Linked DNA regions of Mytilus edulis. The protein of the gene in region 1 purifies or fractionates together with the protein of each later gene. This does not show direct contact. Links are inferred from orthologs where the notes say so. Each region holds a gene or a part of one and is shown in the gene's direction. Other genes may lie near its edges. The genes, in order: glucose-6-phosphate 1-dehydrogenase-like; histidine--tRNA ligase, cytoplasmic-like.

Region 1 (3,938 bases):
CAGAGTCAGGTGTCATGAAATAAATGATTTCATATTGAAACTGTATTATTCTTCATTCAGTCATATTCGTTATTGGTCAGCTTTAGAGGGCAATTTAAGTGACCGTTTAATAAAGGTATCCTGAAAAGGATGTTTCCATGTTGAACCTTCACGTATATATTATGTTATCTTACAGTTGTATTGGTCTTGATCAGATGTATCTTTCCAAGATCGAATACGACTGTAGTTGGACATAAAACGAGATCAATTTGAAAACACCTATCAGTAAAGTATCATGAAAGTTTCCTTGTGAAACAGTACCCAAATCAGGAAAGCAGCAAGTATTGCTGTTTATATATGATGTATTCATAGTCTCCTTGGATACGTGTTTGCAGAAAGATTGGAGAATTCAACGGTACAATATAAAAATACCATGAGTACGGAGATGTGGAATTGTTGCCAATAAGAGAGCTATATATATATATGCACCAGAGTTCAAAGCAATATAAAGTGGATGTAAGCACGTATAGGTAACCATACTGCCTATAAGTTTCTTTTAAATGCCTTAGTCCAAGTTTTTGTTAAATTTACCATAACATGTGGTATGAGAAAGTCTTTTAACATGTAATATTTTGATAGGTCAAACCACAAAGTAGCCACTCTAAAATAAGCCACTCGCATACCAGGATCATCATATGCCACCTTGCATGATTTGGAATATTTATTTTTAGAGATTTGGATAAGGAAACCAATTTTAAAAACCACATTTCCATGCAGTTATATCAGTAAACCCTGAAGCCGATTAACTTCATTTTATTTTCTATTGCAAGGTAAACGAAAATATGAGACAAAATTTATATAATGATATACAATTAGGTGATGAACATTTTATTCATTATCCTGATGATCAAAAATTATTTTATCCATTTCCTTTAGACATGTTAGAATTATTGGGGTTTTTTTGTTGTTGTTTTTTTTTATTAAAAGGTCATAAGAACTGAGGGCAGAGGTCTTATTGTAACATGGATATCGAATATTGTAATATCGAAAATTTATCACTTATGTTTTGGGGTCTATTAGACATGTTAGATTAACTTTCGTATATTATTTTTTTTTTTTTCTTTTATTGTTTGTTTGTTCTTGTATTGCCACAAACATTGTAAATGTTTAATGACAATTAATGAAATTATTATTAACTGAAATATCATCTGATTCTTGCAAAAAATAATTAAACAAGGAACGCCACGATATACATTTCTGACTTCTTTTACCTACTGCAAGTGTAACTAAGGATCGATATACAGTTTGAAACAGTAAATAGATATATATATATATATAAAATCAATATGAAACTATTCTCCGTGAGAACATCAAGTTCTAGATAATGACATGAAGTTGAAGTGTTTTTAAAATAAAGGTCACACAATCGGTTAATTTTTTGTATCATTTAATATTAGGGACATTAGTCAGTAATCGGATCATGGATTAAACCCTTGATATGAGAAAGTATTGACCATTGATACCAACAGCTTTCAGACACAGAAATTAATGTACAGGCAATACAAAAAAGAATTAGAAAAACAGAGGGGTCTTAAATGTGACACGCCCACTTTTAGGGAAACGGAAGTCGACATTTTACTTCCTGTAGCAGACGAGTATTTTGGAAAAATGGCAGTGCAAGGGAAAGTTGATATGCTTTCCATCCTGAGGGATGAATTAGCCTATGAGGGTGGAGCAGCATCTCATGTTTTTGTTGTTTTAGGTGCATCGGTAAGTACACTTTGTGTTGTTAGTCCCTAAAAACGATGACATTGATCTGAAATGTCATTGTTAAATGCTTTCAGTTGTACTGCATTTCTTCTTTCTCATTTCTTTTAGTTGTACAAGATATTTGAATTTTATCTCCCACATGCGCTATGCAAGTAAGAGATTAGATCAAACGAAGACACATAAGAATATTCCTGTTTGACAGTCATTGTGCAAATTGTTTATCTTGTTGTTTACGCTAATGCACATATACATGTACACATAGATTTCTATGTATTATAAAGTGTTGTTTTATTTCTTGTCCTATATTTTGACACTACTAGTTTATTCAACTTGCAAATTCATTCCAATGAGTCAATCTAAAGTTTGATGATAATTCAATAGTCTGTTAAATAATTTCTGAATAATTACATGTATAAAAAATGAAATGGTAAACATTTTTAATGTTATGTTTTAATGTTATAAGTAATTGAAGTAACAAGATACATTGTACATAAAAAATAATTTTTTGACACTGGTTATAAAAGAAGACACTTGCAAACCCTAGTTATCCTTAATTATGATAGAAATGATTGAAATTAACAGGATTAAGGTGGAAAATTTTAATAGATTTTGAAATTTGTGACACATCCCCATGCTAGCCTAATGTAGGCATACTACCATATAGTAGCTAGCAGGGGATATACATTTTTGAACGCATCTTTCACATCATTTTTAAGGTTGTAACCTTAACATGCTTAAAGCAAGATGAATTTTAAGAGTCTAGCTGATCCAGTGATATGTACATCATTATCTGTTTCATATACATTTGTACTTAGACATTTGAAGGGTCTCTATCAGCATGATTAGTAAAAAAAGTATTATACAAATCCTTAGACTTTTCAAATCTTTCAACATTACATTTCTTTCCGTTGAATTTCACAGCCGAAAAGGGCAGACCAGGAAGTAAGTTTTACTTCTGAAATAACTACTTTATCATTGTTTATTGATTACATGTACAATGAGAGTAACACAGTTACTTATACAACTTATCTTACCTGAGGCCAATAAAAGGGTGGACCATACTGAGTTAAAAGAACGCTGTAGTTTGCTTATTAGTCTTCTACTGACAAAGTCGAAGGGGACTTTAGGTTTGCAGTCTGTCTGTCTGTCCACACTTTTTAAGTTCATGCTTGAAGATTTTAAATTTTGTTCCGGTCTGATGATTTTGTGCAGTGATGGCTCTTGAACTTAATTCACTCAAACAATCTGTTTTCTGCACTTTTTTTCGTCATTCTTGAAGATCTTGATTTGATAATGGGTATATAGTGACATTAAAACAAGTTACAGTTCATGTTTGAAATGTTATGAAACGTATACACAATGTTTATTACCACACAATACAGATCAAGATTAAATTTTGCTGGTGTGGCTTCAATAGTTCTAGAGTTATGCCCCTTTATAAATGGAAAAATTCAACATTTAGTTCTCTTACTTAAGTTTGCATAAACCAAATGTTTTGAAACTTATACACAATGTTCATTACCACAATACACATGATACAGATCAAGTTTGAATATTAGTGGTGTGACTTTAATCGTTCTAGAGATATGCCCCTTTACAAATGGAAAAAGTGGATGAATTTTTAGTTTCTAACTTTAGTTTGCCGCAACTAAATGTTGTGAAACTGATACACAATGCTTATTACCACAAACTCAGATCAAGTATAAATTTTGGTGATGTGACTTTAACATTTAGAGTTATGCTCGTTTATAACTTTATACATGTTATATAATATGCAACTGCAAGCAGGGCATCATCTTTGTCCCATTGACACATTCCCCATTTATTTTCTTCATGCTGTAAGATATTGATTTTGATAAAAGGTATACAGTTCAAGTTTGAAATATGTTCTGGTCTGATGATTTTGTGCAGAGTTAAGTCCCTTGGACTTAGAAAATTCACTTATATAATCAGTTTTCAATACAATGTTTTTCGTCATGCTTGAAGAAATTGACTTCATATTTGTTATAATGTTTACACAATGACAAGTTATAGATCAAGTTAGAATTTGGTTCTAGTACAAGGAATTTTTAACTGGCAGAGGACTACATGTATATATATTACTGTGCAACACTCACAGAATGCTTGATTATCATTGTTTATAGTAATTTTATACTCAGTAGCTTATTGATACCTTTGAAATTGTGTTT
Region 2 (3,938 bases), on another chromosome or scaffold:
CATTTTGAAGTAGTCAATACACGCATGTGCAAACAAATTTTTAGTGGATTAATTAGAGCATGGGTTTGTTCACAAAGCGAAAGAAGCACGTCATATTAAAATCATGGTTTTCAAATGCTGAGAGTACTTAAACCTGGTTCGTAATTACTTTTTATCTCTCGTGACCAGAAGGGCGAAGTGAGCTTTTCTCCTGAATTGGTGTCCGTCGTCTTTCGTCGTCCGTAGTTTCTAATTTCTAGAAATCTAATTTCACTCATATTCGATATCATTATTTCATAATTTGTATATTATACTTATATATACTTTTACAAAGAGTTATTCTTACTTTTTAATGTGTTGTTGAATAGTTGAATTTACAGTTTCCACGTTCCAACTTCTGTATTCTTTAGTTTAATTCTTAATAATACACTTATTTTAGTTAAAGACGTTTTATTAATATTTCAATAAACGAACTTTTCAATTTACCATTAATATTGTTTATATTTATTGTTTTGTCATATCACCGGGAATGATTTATTAATTGCTTTTGTTGAATTATAAATAGGTAAATAGGTAAATTCTACTTTTATTTGGCCTTTTTAACTTTTTTGGATTCGAGCGTCACTGATGAGTCTTTTGTAGACGAAACGCGCGTCTGGCGTATATACCGGGCTGAATTTAGTCCTGGTATCTATGATGAGTTTATTTACAACCACTGGGTCGATGCCACTGCTGGTGGAGATTTATTTTCCCGAGGGTGTGACAAGCCCGGTAGTCAGCACTTTTTTTGTTGACATGAATTTTCATTGATATGGTTATATTTATAAATTTACTGTTTACAAATTTTTGAATTTTTTGAAATACTCAGGCATAGATTACCTTAGCTGTATTTGGCAAAACTTTAGGAATTTTGGTTCTCAATGCTCTTCAACTTCGTACTTTATTTGGCCTTTTTTTAACTTTTTTGGATTCGAGCGTCACTGATGAGTCTTTTGTAGACAAAACGCGCGTCTGGCGTATAATATACTAAATTTAGTCCTGGTATCTATGATGAGTTTATGAGTTCTTTACTGGTTGTTATTTGTGTGTTTGGTCGTTGTATATACCATTTCATATCCACTTCCGGTAATCGATTTTCTTCTTTATACATCATAGTTGCATCAGCGGCATGGACGGTGACACTTCCCGAGAAAAGTTGCAAGAACAGATTCGTTTACAAGGAGAAAGAGTTAGACAGTTAAAGATTGATAAAGCTGAAGCACAGCAGGTTAACTACCATTAATTTGGAATAATTGATACAATAATATGAGGCAGGCATTACCTGTAAATGGGGACGAAGTCTGTATGAATTATTTTTTTGTAACTTAATTATTTGTCAAAAAAAAAAAGAAACGGTAATACCGTAACGTTTCCGAGTTTGGTTCTGTTGTTAGGGATTTTAGTTGTGACGTTATTTAAATTATGACGTCATATGCAATGTAAACAAAGAAACGCTATCATTAGGTAACGTTTTTTCATATCAAGGAATTATTAAAAATGAAATTGATATTGCGCGTTTCTTCCTATTTTATACTAGACTGATAAATATATATTTTACTCAAAGTTTCATACAAACGAGACCGGAAAAAGGAAGTATATTGTACATTTCGGCGCAGGTCCGGGATTTCAAAACATGACATAAAAAAAAATAAACGAATTTGAGTTCATTAGTACAATGAAAAATTCGGGAAATTTTCCCGAATTTTTTTTTTTATTGAATTTTCTACTGTTATTGGGGACTTCGTCCCCATATAAATCTGTAACCAAAATATGGTACAGAACTGACATGTCAGAGTTCCAACTTTTTTTATATCCTTGATTTGAATAAAATCAACCAAAATGTCTGAACAGTTTTGCAGTTAAAATCAGAACTTGTCACACTTTGAACGGGAGCGTAGCTATAATCCGACACCCCTAAAATCCAACAGTCCAGTAGTTTGACAGTTCGATAGTCTGACGGTCCGATAATCCGACAGTCCGTTAATCAACAGTGTGTTTGACACAAGCTGTCAAGTGAAGCCATGCACTGAAAGTGAAATGGGTCAGTTAATTTGAGTTTACACAGCTATAGTAGAACTTCTTGTCCAAGGAAAAATACGAATTTACAGGTACTGCAATCGCTTTAATATCATGATGATATCAGTCTGAAGGCTTTGAATCCAGGTGAAAACCGGTCATTTTCAAAATTCCCGGGTTATCTATTTTTCTCAGGTTACACCCGCAGGATACGGGTCAGTTTTACAGGTATGACGACGTCATGCTGATCGATTTGACACATGTTTTTTTGTGTAAAAAAAAAATAATTTACAATCGTTCCATGTCTTTATTCACAGACAAGTGACTGTATGTTGGACTATCGGGCTGTCGGATTATAGGACTGTCGGACTATCGGGCTGTCGGATTATAGGACTGTCTGACTATCGGTCTGTCGGATTATAGGACTGTCGGACTACAGTACTGTCGGATTATAGGACTGTCTGATTATAGGTCTGACCCCCCTTTGAACAGTTGTATTTACCAAAAGATCTAAATGGTAAAGAGTACTGCACAAATCTGACAAATTAAATCGAGAATGGAAATGGGGAATGTGTCAAAGAGACAACAACCCGACCTTAAAACAGACAACAACAGAAGGTCACCAATAGGTCTTCAATGCTGCGAGAAATTCCCGCACCCAGAGTCGTCCTTCAGCTGGCCCTTAAACAAATATATATTACTAGGTTAGTGATAATGAACGCCATACTAAACTCCAAATTGTACACAAGAAGCTAAAAATAATACAAGACTAACAAAGGCCAGAGGCTCCTGACTTGGGACAGGTGCGAAAATGCGGCGGGGTTGAACATGTTTATGAGATCTCAACCCTCCCCCTAAACCTCTAGTCAATGTAGAAAAGTAAACGCACAACGATACGCACATTAAAATTCAGTTCAAGAGAAGTCCAAGTCTGATGTCAGAAGATGTAACCAAAGAAAATAAACAAAATGACAATAATACATAAATAACAACAGACTACTAGCATTTAACTGACATGCCAGCTCCAGACTTCAAATAAACTGATTGAAAGATAAATGTCTTCATCCATTCAGAGTTTCTACTGCTAGCTGTCACATGTCAAGTATTTCAATAATAAAACTGTTGACTAGAAACCACAGACTGATTTCTTCAGACAATTAAAGTGTAGATCCAGCCATTATTCAAAAGGGAATTCTAATCATGTCCCCATTCTAGTGCACTGATCGTCACATTGCATTTATATTTCCTGCTATTTTAAAATAAACATACTTGTAACCCATTTTTATGTTTCTAAGAGGAATTGAAGTCCTAGTCTTATCATATGGTACTAGAACTAACTTTTGGTTACCCATTTTATGTTTGAAGAATATTGCCCAAGTGAGCATGGTGAGAAACTGAGAGTTCCTGTTCAAATTTAAAGAAAAAAAAACCTCATGAAAAACTGAACGTTTGAGTAAACATGGTAAATTTAATATTACACAAGTCTTTGAGAACCCTGATCACACCCTTATGAAGTCATATGTGAGACCAAATATATATAAAAAGATTACACTGTATAATTTTCAGTGCTTTATTTGAAAGGGACACATGCATGACATGTACAATAATGAACAGGTGCTTGTGTAATTTAGAAAATATTGAAATATGTGACATGTCTTACACAATCATGTAGACACATATGTGTCCCTCTAGCAGATAGAGACCACAGACATGACAGAGGCAGAATACAATGTTAGAATAGAATGAAACAGGTGAAAAAAGGTGTAAATTAAGATGTCATTTATTACAAAAGGATCATTTCATATAAATAAAAAGGGGATTTAAATACAATTTCAAACAAATCAGTTTAATCTGCATTTAACAATAAACATGATAATCATGATAAATTGTATCACCAAAACTTA

Evidence for each region.
Region 2: the proteins of glucose-6-phosphate 1-dehydrogenase-like (region 1) and histidine--tRNA ligase, cytoplasmic-like fractionate together in Homo sapiens (co-fractionation; 3 studies listed by BioGRID). This does not show direct contact. The link is inferred for Mytilus edulis from reciprocal best matches to the Homo sapiens genes G6PD and HARS1.

What each region holds. Positions count from the first base shown.
Region 1 is NC_092344.1:74,282,385-74,286,322, reverse strand, and holds the start of glucose-6-phosphate 1-dehydrogenase-like, read left to right. Parts: upstream 1-1,435; 5' UTR 1,436-1,527; coding exon 1,528-1,749; intron 1,750-3,938. UniProt on the Homo sapiens protein: Catalyzes the rate-limiting step of the oxidative pentose-phosphate pathway, which represents a route for the dissimilation of carbohydrates besides glycolysis.
Region 2 is NC_092351.1:44,718,513-44,722,450, forward strand, and holds the start of histidine--tRNA ligase, cytoplasmic-like, read left to right. Parts: upstream 1-1,091; 5' UTR 1,092-1,147; coding exon 1,148-1,246; intron 1,247-3,938. UniProt on the Homo sapiens protein: Catalyzes the ATP-dependent ligation of histidine to the 3'-end of its cognate tRNA, via the formation of an aminoacyl-adenylate intermediate (His-AMP). Plays a role in axon guidance.